Oryctolagus cuniculus: one gene and its partners. The protein of the gene in region 3 purifies or fractionates together with the protein of the main gene of each other region. This does not show direct contact. Links are inferred from orthologs where the notes say so. Each region holds a gene or a part of one and is shown on either strand. Other genes may lie near its edges.

Evidence for each region. The genes of interacting proteins can lie anywhere in the genome.
Region 1: the proteins of EPS15L1 (region 3) and ITSN2 purify together in Homo sapiens (affinity purification with mass spectrometry; 5 studies listed by BioGRID and IntAct, with this or other methods). This does not show direct contact. The link is inferred for Oryctolagus cuniculus from reciprocal best matches to the Homo sapiens genes EPS15L1 and ITSN2.
Region 2: the proteins of EPS15L1 (region 3) and AP2S1 purify together in Homo sapiens (affinity purification with mass spectrometry; 4 studies listed by BioGRID and IntAct, counting the BioPlex papers as one, with this or other methods). This does not show direct contact. The link is inferred for Oryctolagus cuniculus from reciprocal best matches to the Homo sapiens genes EPS15L1 and AP2S1.

Annotation. Positions count from the first base shown.
Region 1 is NC_091433.1:178,232,711-178,237,392, reverse strand, and holds the start of ITSN2 (intersectin-2), read right to left. Parts: upstream 3,117-4,682; 5' UTR 3,001-3,116; exon of another isoform or gene 1,929-3,000; intron 1-1,928.
Region 2 is NC_091449.1:10,581,100-10,585,744, reverse strand, and holds the start of AP2S1 (AP-2 complex subunit sigma), read right to left. Parts: upstream 3,117-4,645; 5' UTR 2,806-3,116; coding exon 2,803-2,805; intron 2,670-2,802; exon of another isoform or gene 2,618-2,669; intron 1-2,617. UniProt on the Homo sapiens protein: Component of the adaptor protein complex 2 (AP-2). Adaptor protein complexes function in protein transport via transport vesicles in different membrane traffic pathways.
Region 3 is NC_091447.1:64,794,143-64,798,218, reverse strand, and holds part of EPS15L1 (epidermal growth factor receptor substrate 15-like 1), read left to right. Parts: intron 1-548; coding exon 549-754; exon of another isoform or gene 755-1,025; intron 1,026-4,076.

The DNA of each region.
Region 1 (4,682 bases), on a different chromosome or scaffold from region 3:
GGCAGTGGAGGATGGCCCAAGTCCTTGGGTCCTGCACCCCATGGGAGACCAGGTAAAGTACCTGGCTCCTGCCATTGGATCAGCGCGGTGCGCCGGCCACAGCGCGCCGGCCACGGCGGCCATTGGAGGGTGAACCAACAGTAGAGGAAGACCTTTCTCTCTGTCTCTCTCTCTCTCTCTCTCACTGTCCACTCTGCCTGTCAAAAAAAAAAAAAAAAAAAAGAAAGATACTGGGGCTGGCATTGTGGCATAGCGGGTTAAGTTGCCACCGGGGACACCAGCATCCCATATGGGCACTGGTTCATGTCCCAGCTGCCCTACTTCCCATCCAGTGCCCTGCTAATGGCCTAGGAAAAGCAGCAGAATATGACCCAGTATCTGGGCCCCTGCCACCCACATAGGAGATCTGGATGAAACTCCTGGCTTTGGCCTGGCCCAACCTTGACTGTTGCAGTCATCTGAGGAATGAACCAGAGGATGGAAGATCTCTCACTCTGTGTCTCCCTCTCTCTCTATAACTCTACTTTCCAAATAAATAAATAAACCTTTAAAAAAAAAAAGCTATACTAACTGTATAGGATAAAATGACTAAGATATAAAATCAGGAAAGATGGGGCCGGCACATGGCAAAGCAGGTAAAGCCGTGGCCTGCAGTGCTGGCATCCCATGTGAGTGCCAGTTCCAGTCCCAGCTGCTCCACTTCCGATCCAGCTCTCTGCTATGGCCTGGGAAAGCAGTAGAGGATGGTCCAAGTTCTTGGGCCCCTGCACCCACATGGGAAACCCAGAAGATGCTCTGGCTCCTGGCTTCGGATCAGCGCAGCTCCAGCTGTTGCAGCCAACTGGGGAGTGAACCAGCAGATCGAAGACCTCTCTCTATTTCTATCTCTGTCTCTGCCTCTCTGTAACTCTGCCTTTCAAATAAATAAATAAATCTTTAAAAAAATAAAATCAGAAAAAAAAAGATGGCTAATGAAAATCTTGAAAGCTGCTGAGTTTGGGTGGTGGGTGTATACCATTCTGTTTTTGTGCAAATATAGTTAAAAAAAAAAAACTATAAATCTAACTCCCAGAATGTGAACACATTACCTCATTTTCAGGAAAGACCAGAATTTTCCCATTGAGATGTGTGAAACTAACAACAGTTCCTCCCCGTTCAATAATTCAATACAGGTCAAGTTTTCTCAGACCAGTCTACTTCTTATTATAAAGGCAAGCAAAAAGAACAATTATTAATCCATTAAAGGGTTAAAAAAGCTTTTTGATTACATATTAATGTTGTATCAAAACCACAACAATACACATTTTCCAAGATCCTTCACAAACATATTTCCAATTTATTTACTTTTGAAATTATAAGGGAATAACAGCCACAACCAATAAACTTAAATGTGGGCACGTCAGAGTTGCTACTATTTGTAAGTTTTGAGGGGCACTATCATTAATTCACGAAAAGATTTCTATGTGACATTTCTGGGTTGCTTTTAGCTTTATCACTGATTAACAATATTGCAAATCCGCACAGGGAGGGAGGCATTTAATTTTCTTGAAAGGCTTAGGAAGCTTAACCTACAGTCAGTGCTGCCTAAATTAAGCTGACCAACAACACAAAATCTCAAGTCACATCTTGCCTGCCTCTAGGTAAGCAACAACACTGACGAGATAAACTAGGCAGTCATTTCTGTAGGAATGCCTTCATGCCTACGGCAAAGTGGCTGGTTCTATCAAAAAACATTCCTAATTCTCTACTAACACAAGTTTCAAATGGAGCATACTTGCCATCGGCAATCATTCAGCGACAAAGTGCATGACTAAAAAATCCAAATAGAGCTGCAGTTTTAGCCTCAGTTTACCCAATCTGCACATGTAGCCCTTTTTTTTTTTTTTTTTAATAAGCAATAAACTTTACTCTGGTCTCAGAGACGCTACCTCGCCGTGCCTGCTGTATACCTGGAATTCAACAACGCCTAAGTCGCATTTCAGCATTTCCCAACTTTGGCTTAACGCGAGCCGTGGACGCCCAGATCCGCCCACAGTCCTCTCGCGACTGGGGCCACTTTGACGCACCGGGATGCGGCTCACCTGACATTCCGCACCAGCCATGACCAAGAGGGAAAAAACCAACTCCGCCCAAATAAAATGGGGCCCCGAAGAAGCGTGCGGTGCGCCCAGGGCTCTCTTCGGCCCGCACTCCCGAAGCCAGGGGGCCACGCCGCCCCCGCCACCTGCCAGACGAGGCCGCGGTCAGGGGCCCACGCTCCGCAGCAGGGAAGAGCCGGCCAGGTCCCCGGCCCCGCCGCGTCCGCCCCGGCCCCGCCGCGGGGGCAGGAACCCGGGGCCGGAGGTTTCCGCCCGGCGCGGCCAAGCCCGCCAGGGGCCTAGCCCGGGGGCCGCAGGGGCTCCCGAGGACCCGTCCCCGTCGTCCGGGGCGCACAGCTGCCTCAGCCCGGCCCTCAGAGCCTCTGGGCGGCGGGCGCGGCGCGGCAGCAGCACCCGCACCTGCCCCGCGCCCTGCGGCAGCCCCGGCGAGCCGAGCGGCTCTCACCCACCTGGCGCCGCGCCTCCCGCACGTCACGGCGCGACCCCGCGCTCCTCGGCACCCGCAGCGCGCGCGCGCGGACGGGTGCGGGAGACCCTGCTCGGCCGCCGCCGCCGCCGCCGCCGCGTCGGTCGTCAGGCGGCCGCCGGCGAACCTGTTGCGCAGCCTGTCAAGGGCTCTCGCCTCTGCCGGCGCCGCCTCAGCCCCACAACAACATGGCGGCCGCGGCCTCCGCAGGAAGCCGGGGGGCGGGGAGGCAGGCGACGGGCCGGGCAGCTGACGGCCCGCCCGCCGGGCACCTACTCCCACCCTCGGGAGCCCGAAGCTGCCCGGGCGCGGCCGCTCACCCCGGGATCCCCGGGACCCCGGACCCCATGGGCTTACTCCGAAGCGCTCCTCTCGGCCCTCGGGGAGGCCGACGCTCCGGACCCGGCAGGCAGTCTTGGAGCTGCGACGACCCACCTGACTCCTCCCAGAGGTGACATGCCGAAGTGGGGTGGTGCTTTTGGAAAGCACCAAGCGGCGCCCGCATCTAGCACTTCTCTTTTGCGCCCCACACGAGGCTGGCTCTAGAATCTTCTCCTCGCTGATGGGGTGGGGGAGCAAGAATTTCCTGGGGTTTGGAGAGCGCGGGTGGGAAGGAGGGTGTTTCTACCCTTGCTCATGGATCTGCTACAGGCCTCATGGACCTTTCTCAGGCGCTGTCCCGGCCTTAACCATACCCAAGGGTCATTCGTTCACCATTCCTCACCCTTATCCCTAACACATAGATATGGCTACTAAGGAGCACCTGCCACCCCTGTTCACACACACAGCAACCTACCGTCCACTTTGACCCAACAGTAAGAAGACCACCTCCCCTGCATGGCCCCTGCCCTCAGAGCTAAGCATTCAGGCCCATCCCAGAGCCAACCAACTGGTGAAGCTCAAACTTGAATTTCTTCTGTGTCTTCCCCTCCAGCTCCTGGTCTGTTTAGGAGAGTACAGATTTCAACTCAAGTCACCACTATGGACAAGGGCTTGCTCTTGACTCAGCACTCCTTCAGGGGAGTAGGAAAGGAAAGGCCTCTGTGTGGTTGGGGTAAGGTAGGGATCAGTGGTTCCTAATGAACAAAACAAAATCGGCATCTAAGAGCCAAGGTGTTCTGTTAGCTTTAAGAAGCAGGTTGGATGCTGATCTAGGTAGAAAACTCAAATCCCCGATGACTGTTGGCACGGGGGAAATCTGGGCAGATCGACTGGTCCTATGGCTTTCTTGCCTTCATCTGTCGGGGCAGATGAAAAGGGCAGTGTTGACTTGAGAGGGATGCTGCAAAGTCCAGCCCTTCCTGAACCAGCCAGCCAGCTCAGGTGAGGAATTTAGCAAACGTCAGTTATTATAAACAGGCTTTTCCCGCTCTCACCCTGGTTCCTGACTCTTCAATCAGGCCCTGACGAAGACCTGACAGACATGTCCTGAGCTTCACTGACACACAGCCCTGACTTCTTGGTATCAGCCTAAGAGTTCTCTTACTTGCTGAGCCAGCCAGTCTGTCCCCATCTGTAAAACTGTTGTGGGTTTAGGAACCCCAAATTATGTTTGGGGATCTAGAGTCCCCACTGGGCTCAAAGAGATCCCCTCGCTAGACTTAGTCCAGCTTCTTGTCTTCCCGTGTGTAAGAATACAACTGTGAGCCAGCACCGCAGCTCACTAGGCTAATCCTCCGCCTTGCGGCGCCGGCACAGCAGGTTCTAGTCCCGGTCGGGGCGCCGGATTCTGTCCCGGTTGCCCCTCTTCCAGGCCAGCTCTCTGCTGTGGCCTGGGAGTGCAGTGGAGGATGGCCCAGGTCCTTGGGCCCTGCACCCCATAGGAGACCAGGAGAGGCACCTGGCTCCTGGCTTCGGATTGGCGCAGCACGCCAGCCACAGCGGCCATTGGGGGGTGAACCAACAGAAAAGGAAGACCTTTCTCTCTCTGTCTCTCTCACTGTGTAACCTGCCTGTCAAAAAAAAAAAAAAAAAAAAAAAAGCAAAGGGATGGTACACACTCAGGTGTGACTGTAGGCTACCTCAAGAGGAAGAATTCTGCTCTCCATGCTGGGAGTTGTCTTTTGTATAGGATACGAGGAGTGGCCTGGTGTAGATTCCTGATTGCAGATCCAAAG
Region 2 (4,645 bases), on a different chromosome or scaffold from region 3:
TGGCAAAAGAAGACCTTTCTCTCTGTCTCTCTCTCTCACTGTTCACTCTGCCTATAAAAAAATTAAAAAAAAAATGTGTTTTGTATCAACAAAAACTTATCTTTTAGATCCACTTCCCACGCCCTTTGTGAAATCCCCTTGTCTACGTCAGCGGCCAGCACGGAGCCCGGCATGTACCGGGGCTGGCAGCAGTCGCAGCTGGGAAGTCCATTCCTAGGGCTCTGGGCAGCCAGGTCGACCCCAGAGTGCCCTCGCCACCCACGAGGCCTGCCACCAGCTGGCGAACGGCACAAACTCTGGGGCCAGAATCCTGGCACGGCCAGTGACCGGCTATGTGGGCCTTGGCTTCCCAATCTCACGCAGGTAATGAGAGGGCGGCCCCCATGGGCTCACATGCCAGGTCAGAGAGAAGGCAGGGGTGTGACACGGGGGTACTTCAAAAGCTCCATGTGGAATCGAATCAAAAGCTAAGCTCTGGGGTGTGTGGCCTTGGGACCCCGTATCCTATCCTGCAATGCCTGGGGGCGGGTTCTCACTGCTTCCTGGGAGGCAGCCAGTAATGGCCCCTGCCACCAACGTGGGAGGCCTTGGCCCAGCCCAGCCCTGGCTGTTGCAGCCATTTGGGGAGTGACTGGTGCATGGCAGCCCTGTGTCTGTCTGTCCATCTGCTCTCTTGCTCTGACTCTGAATTTTTTTTTTAAGATACGTTTATTGCCGGCGCCGCGGCTCACTAGGCTAATCCTCCGCCTAGCGGCGCCGGCACACCGGGTTCTAGTCCCGGTTGGGGCGCAGGATTCTGTCCCGGTTGCCCCTCTTCCAGGCCAGCTCTGCTGTGGCCAGGGAGTGCAGTGGAGGATGGCCCAGGTGCTTGGGCCCTGCACCCCATGGGAGACCAGGAGAAGCACCTGGCTCCTGGCTCCTGCCATCGGATCAGCGCGGTGCGCCGGCCGCAGCGCGCCGGCCGCGGCGGCCATTGGAGGGTGAACCAACGGCAAAGGAAGACCTTTCTCTCTGTGTCTCTCTCACTGTCCACTCTGCCTGTCAAAAAAAAAAAAAAAAAAAAAAAAAGATACGTTTATTTTGGCACAAAAAAATTGAAATCCGTGCATATAAGGGGTCTTCAGAAAGTTCACCAAGAATGTGTATGTTGGAAAAAACTATAGGATTTCCAATCATTTTTTTTTGGCAACAACAACATTAACTTCTCTTTTAAGTCCATTTTCCCATAAGCCTTTTCTTTTTTTCCTTTTTTTAAGTTAAGAAGAAGGGAAGAGCGTGAGCGAGGGAGCCCCCATCGCCCATCCGCTGGCAAACTGCAGACGCCCACCACGTCTGAGACCAGGCCAGCCCAAAGCCGGGAGCTGGGGCCTCCATCCAGGGGCCCAGTCACTGCTGCCTCCCAGGTGCGCACCAGCAGGCAGCTGGGGCCGGGAGCGGAGCCAGGCGTTGAACCCAGGTCGTGAGCACCTTAGCTGCCAGGCCAGACGGCTGCCTCCCCCAGGCACAGCACCAGGTGTGTGCCAGCTCTCCATAGCTTTATAATTACGATGCGACGTTGGGAAAGCCATGGCCTTAGCTCCCCCCGCTGGGAAGCCTGGCTCTGGGTCCGCGCTGGCTGGGAGAACAGGGAAGCCTAAGGACTCCAAGGCTCAGGAGTCCAAAGCCCCCGCCCAAACTCCACAGGGAGTCCACTTTCTTTCCCAAACCTCCTTGCCCCCTCCCCCAAGCCCGACAGGAAGAGGAAGTGACACTGGCCTTCCAAGAACTCCATCTGCTGAGCCAGGGAAAACCACTTCCCAGCAGGGCAGGGGGTCCTGGGCAGGAAGGGAAGGGGGTGGGAAAGACCCAAGCCAGGCAGCCAGCGGGGAGCCAGACCGGCCTGCAGGGTTGCCGGACAGCTCGGCCACCACCTTCCAAATCCCCAGGCCCCCAGACCCCCCCCCCCAGCTGCTCCCCTTTGATCTCCGCTCTCTCTGGCCTGGGGGTCCGGGGGCATCACAGCAACTCCAGGAGCGCCGCCCTTTGTTCCAAGGGTCACTATCTCTGTTCTTACGCCCTCCCCCATTCGTGCCCTTTGCTGAGTCTCCGACCAAAGCAGCCCTGCTTGGTTCCAAAGCCCCACCCTGGGAGAAGGGCGCCCCCAAATCCAAAGCTCAGTCCTTGCCCCCAAGAGCCCCCTCCCCAAATCTCACACTTCCAAGCCTCCCTCCCAGCCCCCAAGCGCTCGCGCGCGCGCGCGCTCTCTCTCCCTCTCGCTCCCCATTCATTTGGAGTATCGGCCCCCACTCCGAGCCCTCCGCCCCGACCCTAAAACCTCCAGACTTCCGGTCTGCAGCGCTCAGCCTGCTCTCCCTCACCCGCAGGATCTCGTCCCGCTGCCGATACCCCCCCGCCACACACTGCCAGGCTAGCTCCTCGCCCCTGGCGACCGCCCCATCGGAGGGCCCTCCGGCCCGCGGCCCCAGGCCTCCCGTCCTCCTCCTTCGCCCCCTCCCCACCTACTACCTTCACGAGTTGCTTCCGTTTCGGAAGCCCCCAACCCCCTCCAATGCCTCCCACCGCACAGCTCCCCCCGCCCCCGCTGGCATCCCGGCCCCCTGTCCCCTCGGCTCGAGACCTCGGAGCATCCACGAGCGCAGATTCAAGGCCCCCTTGGCCGCCTTCTTGGCCCCAATCCCGAGAGCCCGCGCCCGACCCAGACCGTCCGCGGCACGAGAGGGACTGTCAGCACCAGGACGAGCCCCGGCTGTTGACACCTGCACCCCGCTCCGCCCGTCCCCACCGCGGGCGCGCCCCCGTTACCATGGCGACCCCTGACTGGACCCCAGCGGCCCAGGTCCCGCGGCGACTGGGCGGCTCCGGCTCCGGCTCCGGCTGCAGTCGGGGGGCCTAGCGCCAGAGCGGACTTCCGGCAGGAGGACCCGCCTGCCCTCCCGCGCACTGCCCTCCCACGCACAGCCCTCTGGGACTTGAAGTCCCACGAATGGGACGGCTCTCCCGCGCGGCAAGCTGGGGGAAAGTGTCCGGTCGGCTTCCCGGCAGGCTGCGCGATTGTCCTTTTCCTACAAACGATTCAGGGCCCAAGTGCACGTTGGGAATTGTGGGAGGAAAGTCTCGCTAGAGGACTACAATTCCCGACATGCATGAGAGCCGGCGGCCGTTGCATTCTGGGAAATGTAGTTCTGGCAGCCTCTCCTACTCAATCCCGACCCCGCGGGGAGAACTGCATCCTGGGAATAGTAGTTTTTAAATAAGAAACTATACTGGGTTGCTAGAAATGGGCTTGGCTTAAAACACGTTCAAAAAAGATACTCGCGAGCCGGCGCCGTGGCTCAATAGGCTAATCCTCCACCTTGCGGGGCCGGCACACCGGGTTCTAGTCCCGGTTGGGGCGCCGGATTCTGTCCCGGTTGCCCCTCTTCCAGGCCAGCTCTCTGCTATGGCCAGAGAGTGCAGTGGAGGATGGCCCAGGTGCTTGGGCCCTGCACCCCATGGGAGACCAGGAAAAGCACCTGGATCCTGGCTCCTGCCTTCGGATCAGCACGGTGCGCCGGCGGCAGCGGCGGCCATTGGAGGGTGAACCAACGGCAAAAGGAAGACCTTTCTCTCTCTGTCTCTCTCTCTCACTGTCCACTCTGCCTGTCAAAAATTAAAAAAAAAAAAAAGATAAAAAAAAAAAAGATACTCGCATCCCACATGGAGCGCATGAGTTCAGTATTAAAAAAAAAATTAAAAAAGGTGAGCCTGAATTTGAGAGTCAGACTGTGTGAGGTTGGATCAGTGAATACGTCCTGGGGCAAGGTGCAAGTGTGTAGAGAGGAGTGAGTCGTGTGACCAGCGATCCAGTGAGCAACAGGGACAAACTGTCCGCCCTACACACAGCGACGCAGGTGGACACACAGCGAGGGACGAAACAGCCATGAGCTGGAGCACGAACTCCACGATTCCATTATGTAAAGTGCAAAAACAGGCAAAACGAACCTGCAGGTGGGTGGGGCCGGATGAGCGAGTGGGAGAGGGACCGGTGGCCCTGACAGGTTGGTGTCGCTGTGTTTCTTTATCTTTATCTCGGTGCTGTTCTCCGTGAATTCCCATGAGGCTGTGCCCTTGCAATGTGGGCACTTCTTGGTGTGTGTTATATTTGAATCTGAGTTTTGTAAAACCATGGGGTGAGTGTACAGGTAAGCTGCTGCTTAGGATGCCCACATCCCACATTGGAGTTCTTGGGTCCCAATCCTGGTTCTGCCGCCAATCCACTTTCCTGCTGGGAAGCAGTAGGTGACGACTCAAATAGTTCAGTTCCTGCCACTCCCCTGTAGCTCCAGGTTTTGGCCAGACCCAGTCCTGGCTGTTGTGGGGATTTGGGGACTGAATCGTTCAAATAATTTTTTTTAAGGATTTATTTTATTTATTTGAAAGAGTTACAGAGGCGGGAGGGGGGGAGAGGTCTTCCATCTGCTGGTTCACTCCCCAATTGGCCGCTACGGCTGGAGCTGCGCCGATCCGAAGCCAGGATCCAGGAGCCTCCTCCAGGTCTCCCACGTAGATGCACGGGCCCAAGGACCTGGGCCATCTTCTACTGCTTTCCCAGAACATAGCAGAGAGCTAGATCGGAAGAGGAGCAGCCGGGACTCGAACCAGCGCC
Region 3 (4,076 bases):
AATGTTCCAGCACTCTGTCTCACACAGCCAGAAGCCCCTCTCTCCCGCCTCCCTGGCCAGCTGTGCCTTACTGGGATCCAGGCAGCCTGGTGTCGCCTGCTTGGCCAACGCCCACTCAAACCCTGCCCTTTGAGTCCTGTGTGACGATCGGGTCAGGGTCGCTGGCCTGTCCCTCAGCCTGCGCACCTGGTGTTTCTCTGGGCTGGGGACTGCTCGGAAGTACCCCGCGAGTGTCCCCCTCAGTGCTGCACTGTGCTGTGTGATATCGGAGCCGCGCCTCCTGTCCCGGGCCTGTACCACTAACCGGCTTGCTTGTGACTGTGTGTGTGTGTCTTCTCGTGTGGCTCTTAACCTGGGAAGCCCCCCGGGAACACACGCCATCCTCCCCCAACACCCCACGCTCTCCCCGGAGAGGCAGAGGCCCCTCAGCTCCTGCCTGCCTGCTGTGAGTAACTTGTGTTTCTTTTTTGTTTTGTTTTGTTTTGTTTCTCCTTTTTCTCTCTTCTCTTCTTGTCTCTCTCTCTCTCCCTCTCTCCTGAACTTTCCAGGTAAAAGCACACCTGTAAGCCAGCTCGGCTCTGCAGACTTCCCCGAGGCCCCCGATCCGTTCCAGCCACTCGGGGCTGACGGCGGCGACCCGTTCCAAAATAAGCAGGGCTTTGGGGACCCGTTTAGTGGAAAAGACCCGTTTGTCCCCTCCTCTGCAGCTAAGGCTCCCAAGGCCTCCTCCTCGGGCTTTGCAGACTTCAGTTCTGTAAGTTGAGCCCCCACCTCCGTGCCACCCCTCCTGCCCTCCGCTTGCAGCTTCTTGGGGGTCGTGTTTGTTTGTTTTTTGTTTTTTTTTTTTTTTTTGGTCCCTCTCCGACGGCAACCCCCCTTCACCCCTAGCCGCACTCCTCCCCCGGCTCATTCGCGTCTTCTCCGTTCCTCATGCGAGCTGTCACTCGTGTTATTTATTCTGTACCTGCCACTTGTGTAAGGAAAGGTTTTGCAATAAAAAAAAAAAAGAAAAGAAAAAAGCCGCAGTGTGGGCGTATGGCAAAGGGCAGTGTTTTCTCGCGGCTGCACGCGTGCGAGGGGCCGGTGCGTGCTCCGATCCCGCCCGGAGGCCAGGATGTCCAGCACTGCCGAAGGATGCAACCAAGTCGGCCGCACCGCTGGCTGCCCTGCGCCCCGCCCCCACCGGCCCGGGGAAGGACCGCTGGATTTGTGCACAGCGACGAAACCCTCCTTGATTGCAATGACCAGCAACAGTGGCGAAAGATATCTAATCTAGAACAAGTGCTCGGAACGCCTTCCTCTTCTGCCGAAAGCAAACAAGCAACAACAAGCCGGGAAGAGCCGCGTAGCGAGAGGAGCGCCTTTGCAGAAGTTGCGCCCAAGTCTGGCTTTGTCGTCCGCGTGGGGGGCGGGACGGGGACTTGCAGCTGGACAAGGCCACCCTCTTCCGCACGCCCGGTTCTCCTGCTCTGAGAGCCGCCGCTGCTGGCCTCCCGGGCTCGCTGTGCCAGGTGTGCGTGTCCCCCCACCCTGTTTTCAAATGTATTTGAAGGAGTGATGGAGAGAGAGCTTGCACCGCTGGGTTAGTCCCCCAATGCCCACAACAACCAGGGCTGGGCCAGGATGAAGCCAGGAGCTCCAGCCGGGTCCCCCCACGTGGCTGGCTGGGCCCCAGCCACTTGGGCTGTCACCTGCTGCCTCCCGGGCTGTGCATCGGCCAGGAGCTGGATGGGATTCACTGAGTAGCCAGGGCTTGAAGCTGACACTCCCATATGGTGCGCAGGGGTACCAGGTGGCCCCTTAATCCTGACTCCATCATTTCTTTCTTTTTTAAAGATTTTTTAAAATTTATTTGAAAGGCAGAGGGGGTGGGAAGGGAGACAGAGAAATCTTCCACTGGGTCACACCCCAAATGGCCGCAATGACCGGGGCTGGGCCAGGCTGAAGCCAGAAGCTTCATCCGGGTCTCCCACGTGGTGCAGGGGCCCAAGCACTTGGGCCATTTCCCACTGCTTTCCCAGGCCACAGCAGGGAGCTGGATCTGGGATGTGGGCACTGGCAGTGGGCGGCTTTACCCGCTGGCCCCCAATGCACGTTTAGACGTGAGCTGTCTTCTTTGCAGAGCCTCCAACTCCTAGGATATCCGTGGTGACACTGCGTGTCAGCGCACACACCCTGATCCAGCCCTGGGCTTGGGGGACCTGTGACCTTGTCGCCACTGCACTTAGTTGGGTGCACGGCTGTGTCGTAAGAGCCAGGAACAAAACCCGCTTTAGCCAGTGAACCTCTTGGATGGGCACTGGGTTTCTTTCCTGGTGGGAAACTTAAACACCAACGAGAAGAGCAGAGCTGTCAGGCGTGGCCAGGGTCGCGTGTCTGGGTCGGCGGGAGCCGGGCGAGTGGAATCAGCTTGGAGAAATGACTGTTAGCTTCCTGGCACGCGAAGCTGCTTCCTGTGATCTTACCTTGAAAGGACTTGGTTTTTTTTTGAACCCCCCCAAAAAAATTTCTTTTTCGAAACACCCCAGGTTTCAAGCGAGCAGTTTTGGGCTAACGTTTCTGGTTGTTTGTTTTGTTTTCCATGAACACGGAATGATTCACAGCGGCTCGTGTGGCAGCCTCACACATGCGTGCACGCTTGCCTCTGCCTCCGTAGCTTTTCCTTTTCCTTACGCTTGGGGCCCGTTCTCCACCACGTCTGCAATGGGGAAGTTGATTTCCTGGAAGCCACGGGGTGGCTGTGAGCTGTGGTCACCCCCGCAGGGCTGCAGCTAAGCTGTCCTGCATCTCCCCCCTCCCTGCTATCTTCAAGGGGCGGGGCGGGGGTGGGGCAGTGGATCACAAACACTTGCACTAAGTCAGAAAAGGCCCGAGCCCCCTGCCCCGTGGACCGGCATCTGATCTGATGTGCTGAGCGGGGAGGGGGCGGTGCAAGGGGCCTGGTCGGAGATGCTGGCATCTGCAATCCCTGGGTTCTTTGTGCTGGTCGCTTTCCGTGGCGTGTCTCCAGTTGCTGTCTCGGACGACTGTGTCTGTTAGGAAGTAGCGTCTGTAGGGTCTCTGCCCCTACCCCACCCCACCCCCGGGCGCCCACAGTAAGGGCAGCGCGTCGGCTGAGCTGTGCCAGCGGCATGGGCAGGAAGGATGCGGTTCAGGCCGGGTGGGCCAGTGAGCGAGGCGTGCCGTGCCCACCAGGTCTGCTCCCACTGTGAGCTAAGGCTGCTGGGCTGCCATTGAGGACCCCCGGCGACCGTGGACTTGTAAGAGGCCGTGGAAACAGAGCCACTGTCCTGAGTGCCCCCCCACAGCGTGGGAAGGGCAGCGTGTCCCCGTCGCCGCTGCTGTCTCAGCCCCTCCATGGTGCAAGAGGGAAGCGGAATCCAGCGCTGGCGCCAGACTGCCTTGCCGGGTACCGCCCCACTGGGGAGCCCAGCGGAAGGCGGTCACCCAGGGCTGGGAAAGGCCCTGGTCCTCGATGGAGAGACGGCCCAAGCTTGTCCCTGCTGCCACGCCGACCCAGCCTACCTACTGCAAGTCTCCGCACGGGATTCCCGCGCCGGCCTCGAACCCAGGACTCTGAAGGCGCCTGGGTCTTCCCCGCCAGCACGTTCAGCTGGAAGTAGAGGCCGGGGCCGCTGGGGCCACCGGGACTTGGGTCCAGCGAGCCGAGGCCACTCCGGGCTTTGCTTTGAAGCAGGTTCAGGCAGCCTCCGTGGGCTGTGGGCTGGCAGAGGGCAAGTCCCCGCGGGCCCGGCTGTCGCCTCACCACCGCGTCAGCCACACCTGGCACAGCCCGCCATCTGTCACCCCTCACCCCCCACCAGCCACCAAGCTGGTCACCCTTCCCCCCCCACCATGGAGTGCTCCCCAAAGGGAAGTCTTGTCTTCCCCCACGGGGGCCCCCAAGCCCCTTGCAGAGGTCTGGACGGGAAGACCCCACCCCACCCCGTGGCCCCAAGGTTGGGCACCGGGCCCAGGCCCTGGGCGCAGCTTGTGTATAAGGGCCTCCCCCACCCCACCCCAGTGTCCCCAGCTGAATGAGGGACGCCATGCTCTGTGTCTGAGACGGGTGCTGT